2 linked regions of the Arabidopsis thaliana genome follow. The protein of the gene in region 2 interacts with the protein of the main gene of each other region in a pairwise test. Each region holds a gene or a part of one and is shown on either strand. Other genes may lie near its edges.

Region 1 (3,758 bases), on a different chromosome or scaffold from region 2:
TATCACTTCATTTCTGCTCTTATCACTTTTAACTCTTTTTATTCGTTTTATCTCTTTTAACTAACATTTTAGTTCCTTTAAATTTCTCTCCTAATTCTTGCCTTTGGTTCTCTAATGAAAGAGTACCCTTTTTAGGTACATTTCGCACTTGAAAGCATAGCAAAGATGCGTCCATCAATCAAATTTTGAGGGTTGATTTAGAACATTTTAATTTAAAGATGAAAAACAGCCAGTAAAGGTAGTAAAAATACGTAGAAAATAGAGATGTCGTCTCAGAGAAGATGAAAGTTACATAGCCCTTTGGAAAGGAAAAAATGATCACTACCGTCAAAAGTTTGTCACAAGAGATACATGCTCAAAAATTCGCAACACTAAGCCTACGATGGACGGATACAAAGGGATCTGTTTCTTTTACTTTACCCTAACTACTCCTTTCTCAGTTGGCTAGCTTCAAAAAACAGAGTTGCCACGGGAGACAGAATGTTTAAATGGAATCAACAAGTGAACACAAACTGCATGTTCTGTCACGAACCTATGGAAACAAGACACCATCTTTTTTTTGGGTGCTCTTACTCGCAGAAGGTATGGGAGAAGCTGATAAGGGGAATACTACTTGATAAGTACTCGACATATTGGAGGGAAGTCTTTAAAACCATTTGTGACAAAAACTATGACAAAACAAAAATCTTCATTCTACGGTATGTCTTCCAAAACACGGTTCATTCGATTTGGGGAGAAAGAAATGCTTGAAAGCATGGTGAACAACCATCACCAATGGAGAAACTTGTCAAGTTAATTGACAAAAATGTTTGGAACCGGCTGAGCACAATACGGAGTGGGGGGAGCTTTGAAGTATGAAGGAGGTCTTCAAGTTTGGTTTGGTACAAGACAAGCTTAAGACCAAATCCTCTGTTTTAGATTTGTTTTTCAAAAAAGTATGCATTAAGTTGTAAACACGTTTATTTCTCTTTTTAAAATCTAATCTAAAAATTTTCTTTTTTAAAATGACATAGAAAAATCCAACTGTATATTTTAAATCCATAAACATGAATTCTAGAGCCGCAAGTCCAAAAATTTAGAGATGACATCATAGCAAGCAAGGACACGCAAGAATTAATGAAATTTATAATGGAGATAACAAAGCATGAATATTTATAATTTGGAAACTGTTTTACATTAAATTAGATAGTTTACGATACATTCAAAGCTAAAACACTTATTTACAATGAAAAGTAATCAATGTTTCTTGAATGGGTTTGGCTACTTCTTCTCATATGGTTGGACCGGGGCATATATGAGCTTTTACGTGGTATTCGTGGACCCATGACCATATGAGCTTCTTCATGTGGCCTTAGAGTGTGGATTCTTCCCTCGGATCCACACCATCCATTGAAGTGTGTTATAAAATTTCCCCATGATCCGTCATGGCTTTTGTGCTTAAGTTGTCATGGTGGGAATTATCTTGAGGTGCCACATTCGTGCTTAAGTGGGCCGTAAGTGCAATTGCGTTGTGCTCCAAAAGGAACGGTGCCGTGGGTTCCTCTTGTTCATCAGAAATATATTAATTAGCCGTAAAACCTGAAAATTCACAAGCATTTGGATTGTTTTCTAATTTAATATCCATTATGTGACTAAAAGTTCTAGTGATCGTACATACTACATAGAAAATAATAACACAAAATACTAGTTTACATTTCCCAATTAAAAACCATTTTGAATGAACTCTGTCTGATTTAATTATACTTTTAAAATGTGGGATGAATTCAAAGATTATACTTATATTCTTATTATTTAAGATTATCAAGTGGAAAAATAAAAATATGAATGTGTTAATATAAGGTAATAGAAATTTAATCATTTTTTTAATCTATATGTAAAAAGTATTTAACCGATATCTACAATTTGACGCCTCCCAATTGAAAGGAGCCAAAAGCAACCGATCAAGTGGAGACCAGTAGCCATACACATTCACTCCTACCCTTACATGAGAAAGATAAGATTATGGAGTTTTCTGCCACGTGATCTTATCCTAGTGGTCCAAATCGATAAGGGTGTCAACACCTTTCCTTAATCCTGTGGCAATTAACGACGTTATCATGAATTATGGCCCCTTTGATCATTAGGGCTAGTTGCCTCTAGCGGTTCCCACTATATAAAGATGACAAAACCAACAGACAAACAAGTAAGTAAGAGAAAAACCAAAAGAAGAAGAGAAACAACAAGAAGAAGTAATGGCTTCCTCTATGTTCTCCTCCACCGCTGTGGTTACCTCCCCGGCTCAAGCCACCATGGTCGCTCCATTCACCGGCTTGAAGTCATCCGCTTCTTTCCCGGTCACCCGCAAGGCCAACAACGACATTACTTCCATCACAAGCAACGGAGGAAGAGTTAGCTGCATGAAGGTAAATGTCATTAATGAAAACTGTCTTTTGTCATGTGCAATTAGTGCAACTGAACAATACTTTAGAATAATTGGGAATTCGAATTTATAGGTGTGGCCACCAATCGGAAAGAAGAAGTTTGAGACTCTATCTTACCTCCCTGACCTTAGTGACGTTGAATTGGCTAAGGAAGTTGACTACCTTCTCCGCAACAAGTGGATTCCTTGTGTTGAATTCGAGTTGGAGGTAATATACACTGAACTTTTCCTTTGTCTCTAAGCATCCTTTATTCTTCTTCTTCATTGCTAGAAACTTAAGTGGATAACCGAAATAGACTATCACCAATATATATATCAATTGTATTGAATGGTTTTCTTTATATATAGCACGGATTTGTGTACCGTGAGCACGGAAACACTCCCGGATACTATGATGGACGATACTGGACAATGTGGAAGCTTCCATTGTTCGGATGCACCGACTCCGCTCAAGTGTTGAAGGAAGTTGAAGAATGCAAGAAGGAGTACCCTGGCGCCTTCATTAGGATCATCGGATTCGACAACACCCGTCAAGTCCAATGCATCAGTTTCATTGCCTACAAGCCCCCAAGCTTCACCGAAGCTTAATCCCCTTTCTGGAATATTCAGCGTTGATTATTCTGGAACCCATTTCTATGTGGTCAATGCAAATTTAAGAAATTATTTGCCGACTTAACAGTTGAGGAACTATTGTTTGAAAGTGAAAATGTTATTCCTATCAGTTTCTCTATAATTATAGTTATCATTTCATTTCATTTTTGCCCTTAAATCTTTGAAATCTTATTTTTCGTTTAGCTCCTTTAAACAACATTGTGGCTCCTTTAAATTATCCTCATAATTCTTGCTTTTGACTCCCTAGACTAACCAATAAACTCTAATAAAAAAAGAAAAACTTGCTACATTGTTTTAAGAAATTTTGCACATGAAAGCAATCAATCAAACCTCGATATTTAGAGAAAAGTTTATGTAAGGGAGTGTAACCATTTTTCAGATGACATAGCCATTGGAGATTTGGAAAAGGTAGTATATACAGAAAATTCAAATGCATCTTTTAAAATTATAAACATAAAACATGTATTCCAAACCCCTAAGTGGGATATTAAGTCAAGAAATAGCATTACATAAAGCAAGGATCGACAAAGACTGAAATTTGTCAAGCATGAAGTTACTAAATTTTGGAAATTTTGTTTACGTTAAATTTGATCATTGGTTATGCATTAAAAGCTGAAACAGTTATTTAGAAGGAAAAGTAGTTAACGTTCCCAAAAAGTTCTAAATAAAACTAGATTCCAAATGATAATGAAAACGTCGCATCTACTATATGTTTGGTTTTAAGTTT
Region 2 (3,758 bases):
ACTTCCTGGAAGAAGATCAAAATCGAGTGAAGGACCATGACCAAAAGGTCCACAACCAGTTAAACTAGTCATTGACAAATCCAACGGTGAGATGTGCATTGGATGTAGCGTAGAGAGTTGCGATATCGGTCTTCCCATGTACTTTGATGCAATGGTAGACATTCTTTCAAGCTATGCAAAAAGATCAAATTTTCACAGTCAAAATGATGTTTTGAATCAATCTTACATCAATAAAAACTCGCAAAACAAAACCAAACCTCTTCTCTAAGGTGTGCATTTTCAATCCGAAGCTTTTGTTCATCAAAGTAAGGATCTTCACTAACAGGAGGACCTCCACAGTTAGGACATATAGCATGCTTGAGAGCTTCTCTAATAGCAATGTTTTCGCAACGAATTTTATCATTCTCTGCCTTTAGTGCACTATTATCTGCTCTCTCATGTTGAGCCTACACAAAACAGTACCACAACGAAAATCAAAATCCTCTCTTTTCGTGTTCAGAATTACATTTTAAACTCAAAAGAGAGAGAGAGAGACAGAGACACAAAACCTTAAGCTGAGTTCTTCTGTTCTGAAACCAGAACTTGATTTGTCTTGGAGCCAAACCCAATTCTCTGCTAAGCTGGTTCCTCTGTTTCTCATCTGGATGAGGACACTCCTTGAAACTCCTGTCCAAGTTTCAACGATTACAAAATGAAAACAGAGTCCAAAAGATAAAAAAGAGAAGGGATTGCAGAGTAGTACGATTCAAGGCGTTGAATCTGTTGAGCGGTGTGACGATGGTAACGTTTCTTCTTCCTATCAGTTTCAGAGCCGTCGTGATGATGACTACCACCACCGTCTCCGCCGCTTCCACTACCACTTCCGCCGACGCCGACGACGAAACTCATTTTTTTTAATTAATGTTTCGAAAAGACAGTAAAACAGTCTTTAATCTCTTTACTTTTCACCCAACCACAAACTACTAATGGACCATTTACACCACTGTCACCATTAACACAAACCCAACAGAGCAACACACCAAAAAAAAAAAAAGGTTCAAATTTTAGAGAAGAGGAAGAGAGATTAAAAGAAAGAAAAAAAACGAAACGGAAGAGAATCTGAAAGAGAAGATGCAAAGGCGATGATTTCGGGAGGTGAAAAGGTTTCGCTTTAGGCAAGAAATTGATTACGAAAACAAAAGAAAAAAAAAAGGAATTTTTACAAATCCAAAAGAGATAGGTTTTTTATTTTAGCCGTAATAATGTCTCTTCTTAGTTCTCTACAGAGCCACCCTAGAAAGAGAAAGTGAGATAGTATATGATCTCTTCCTTGTAAAGACTTTCTCACCTAAGCTAAAGCCGCCATTAGTGCTCCCAAACCCCTTTTGTTGCTTCTTCAACATTCATTACAGATTCGCTAAAAGAAAACTCTCTCTTTAGAAATTGGCGTAACTGATGGGTTTTTAAATTGACAGAAGAAAAAATAGAAAAGAGAGAGAAAGAGAAAGAGGGTTTTAAAGTCTCTTGCTCTCTCCATTACTGCTAACTAGTACTCTCACCATACTCGGGGAAAGAGAGAGAGAGAGGACCGAACCAACCTTCTTCTTTTGTTTCTCTTTCTATACAACTAACTCTCTTTTTTAAGTTCCGGTGGATTTTTATGTTGCCGGAGAGGGTTAAATTGACGGTGGTTGGATAAAAAAAGGAGAGGACTTTATCCACTTTCTCCGGCGATTTTCTCACCTTCGTATAATGACAAAAATTAACTTTTATTGGGGATTTTGCTGATCTCATTTTCTTCTTCTTCTTTGGATTTTTTATTTATTTCTCTTTCTCATTTCCCAAGTTTTCTTACTCTGTTATAATTTAATTGTACTTTCTCTAATTTTTGCCTAATTTAGATGTACTAAAAACAAATAAAGATTTATTACTATAATACATAATATTTCTTCAAAATGAAAAATGAGAAAATCTGTGTAAAGGCAATTTTAATTACTTTGTACTAGATTCTTACTTTTCTTAAAACACCACTTGTTTTGTTTAGTGAACAAAGATCTATAATTAAAATGGATTTTCTTATAGATATTTACTTTTCTCAAAACATTACTAGTTTAAGGATATTTAATAATAATTATTGTATTTTAATAGTAGTAATTATTGTTTTAACTCGTGATAAAACAAACATTTCTTACCCACGGTTAAAACTATTAAAACGTTTACACATGGACAAACAACTTATCTGCACTGTAGTCTTCTATTAAAGCGAGCGGGTCATAAGTTCGACAAAATTGCCAATAGTAAAGATTATTTACTGAATACAATGAATGCATGGAACGTTCCACTAATTTATAATTTTTTCTATATAAGATTATTAGTACTATGTTTTACCTGATTTAATCATACATTCATATTTAGGAACATCGCACGTTATTCAATTCCTTTTAAGACTGTTTAAATAACATAACTTTAATATGATATAATTAGCTATTTTTATATCTGTTTAAATACTGTAATCAAAATAGCTTTATTTTTATTTTTAGTTGTTGTATTTTTGCATTTTTGGGTCGTCTCGATGTGTTGGCTGTTTCCTACTCACGCGGTCTTAACTCTATTCACTTCGAAGTGTATATCAAAAAAAGTCAAACTGTTTTTACTATACATTGAAATTAGAAACCTGTGGAAGAAAGAAATATGGTTGAAACTTGAAAACTTGACAACAATGTGAATTTATTATACAAACTTTCGTTGACAAAAGGGATTGCATGCGATTTCTAATTTTGTTTCCTCAACAACGACGACATTAAGTGTTAGCTGAAAATATGATACAACATACTGTATGATACTACTAACCTGATTATTAAAACAAATATGAAATCTCATAATTAAACTGATTTGCAAATTTTCTATTTGGTGTTATGTTTTCATTATTGGATGATATAGAAACGTATCATGGATTTCATTAGAGATTATGAATGCTATAATGCGAAGTAAATATAAAACTATTTATGAACTAAAGATAGTGTAATGAATTTGTGTATCATTCACCAATTCTTTGTTATTGATGAGATAATCATTTAGGAACAAAAGTTATTTATATTGTTTCTTATTATTATCAACTTTGGTCTTTAATTTACCATTCATGTGTGCATTATTTTATTCCTAAAAAATATTGACATCAGTCTGAAAAGAAGAAGCAATTAAATAGAGTCCTTAAAGCCTTGATATAAATTTCTCATCTTACCACATTTATTTTGGGACCTTGAATAAAGTGAACCAATTCACATACAGTCTCTGCCTTCGTTTGCTCCATATAGCTATCCCTAAATTTAATTATCATATGGACCGATTCATTACTTTATTTATTATCTTAAGATATTAATTCAAATATATGTTCAACCAATTTTCATAATTAATACATGCACATAGTACATACACGTGTGTAATTATATACAGTTGGACAATTTGGTAAGCCAATATTAATTCACAAAGCCAAATTAAAAAAAAAAAAAAATCTTGACCAATTTGATTTTATTAGTTAATTTTACATCGATGGTAGTTTCATTCATTAGTCATTACATATTTTACAGTTTTTCACTTTTCCTCGATCCAAGGTCAAACTTTTTAATACTCTTGAGCCGAGTTAGCACCAAAGAACCTCTGCTTCAAAATGTAGCAGATATAGAGACAAACAACGACTGACCAAAACAAGTTTCGAACCGGCGAAGCTCCTTGGCTATGTTGTTGTCCATACGCAATCTTCATCTTCTCTAGCTTCTGTT

What was found.
Region 1: the proteins of HDG11 (region 2) and RBCS2B interact in a two-hybrid assay, tested with the Arabidopsis thaliana proteins (one large-scale study listed by BioGRID).

What each region holds. Positions count from the first base shown.
Region 1 is NC_003076.8:15,380,452-15,384,209, reverse strand, and holds RBCS2B (Ribulose bisphosphate carboxylase (small chain) family protein), read left to right. Parts: upstream 1-2,138; 5' UTR 2,139-2,231; coding exon 2,232-2,402; intron 2,403-2,492; coding exon 2,493-2,627; intron 2,628-2,767; coding exon 2,768-3,007; 3' UTR 3,008-3,303; downstream 3,304-3,758. UniProt on the Arabidopsis thaliana protein: RuBisCO catalyzes two reactions: the carboxylation of D-ribulose 1,5-bisphosphate, the primary event in carbon dioxide fixation, as well as the oxidative fragmentation of the pentose substrate.
Region 2 is NC_003070.9:27,580,933-27,584,690, forward strand, and holds the start of HDG11 (homeodomain GLABROUS 11), read right to left. Parts: upstream 1,754-3,758; 5' UTR 889-1,753; coding exon 743-888; intron 667-742; coding exon 549-666; intron 447-548; coding exon 258-446; intron 172-257; coding exon 1-171. Other genes in the region: SUS6 (sucrose synthase 6), read right to left, coding at 3,601-3,758. UniProt on the Arabidopsis thaliana protein: Transcription factor which acts as a positive regulator of drought stress tolerance. Can transactivate CIPK3, NCED3 and ERECTA. Transactivates several cell-wall-loosening protein genes by directly binding to HD motifs in their promoters.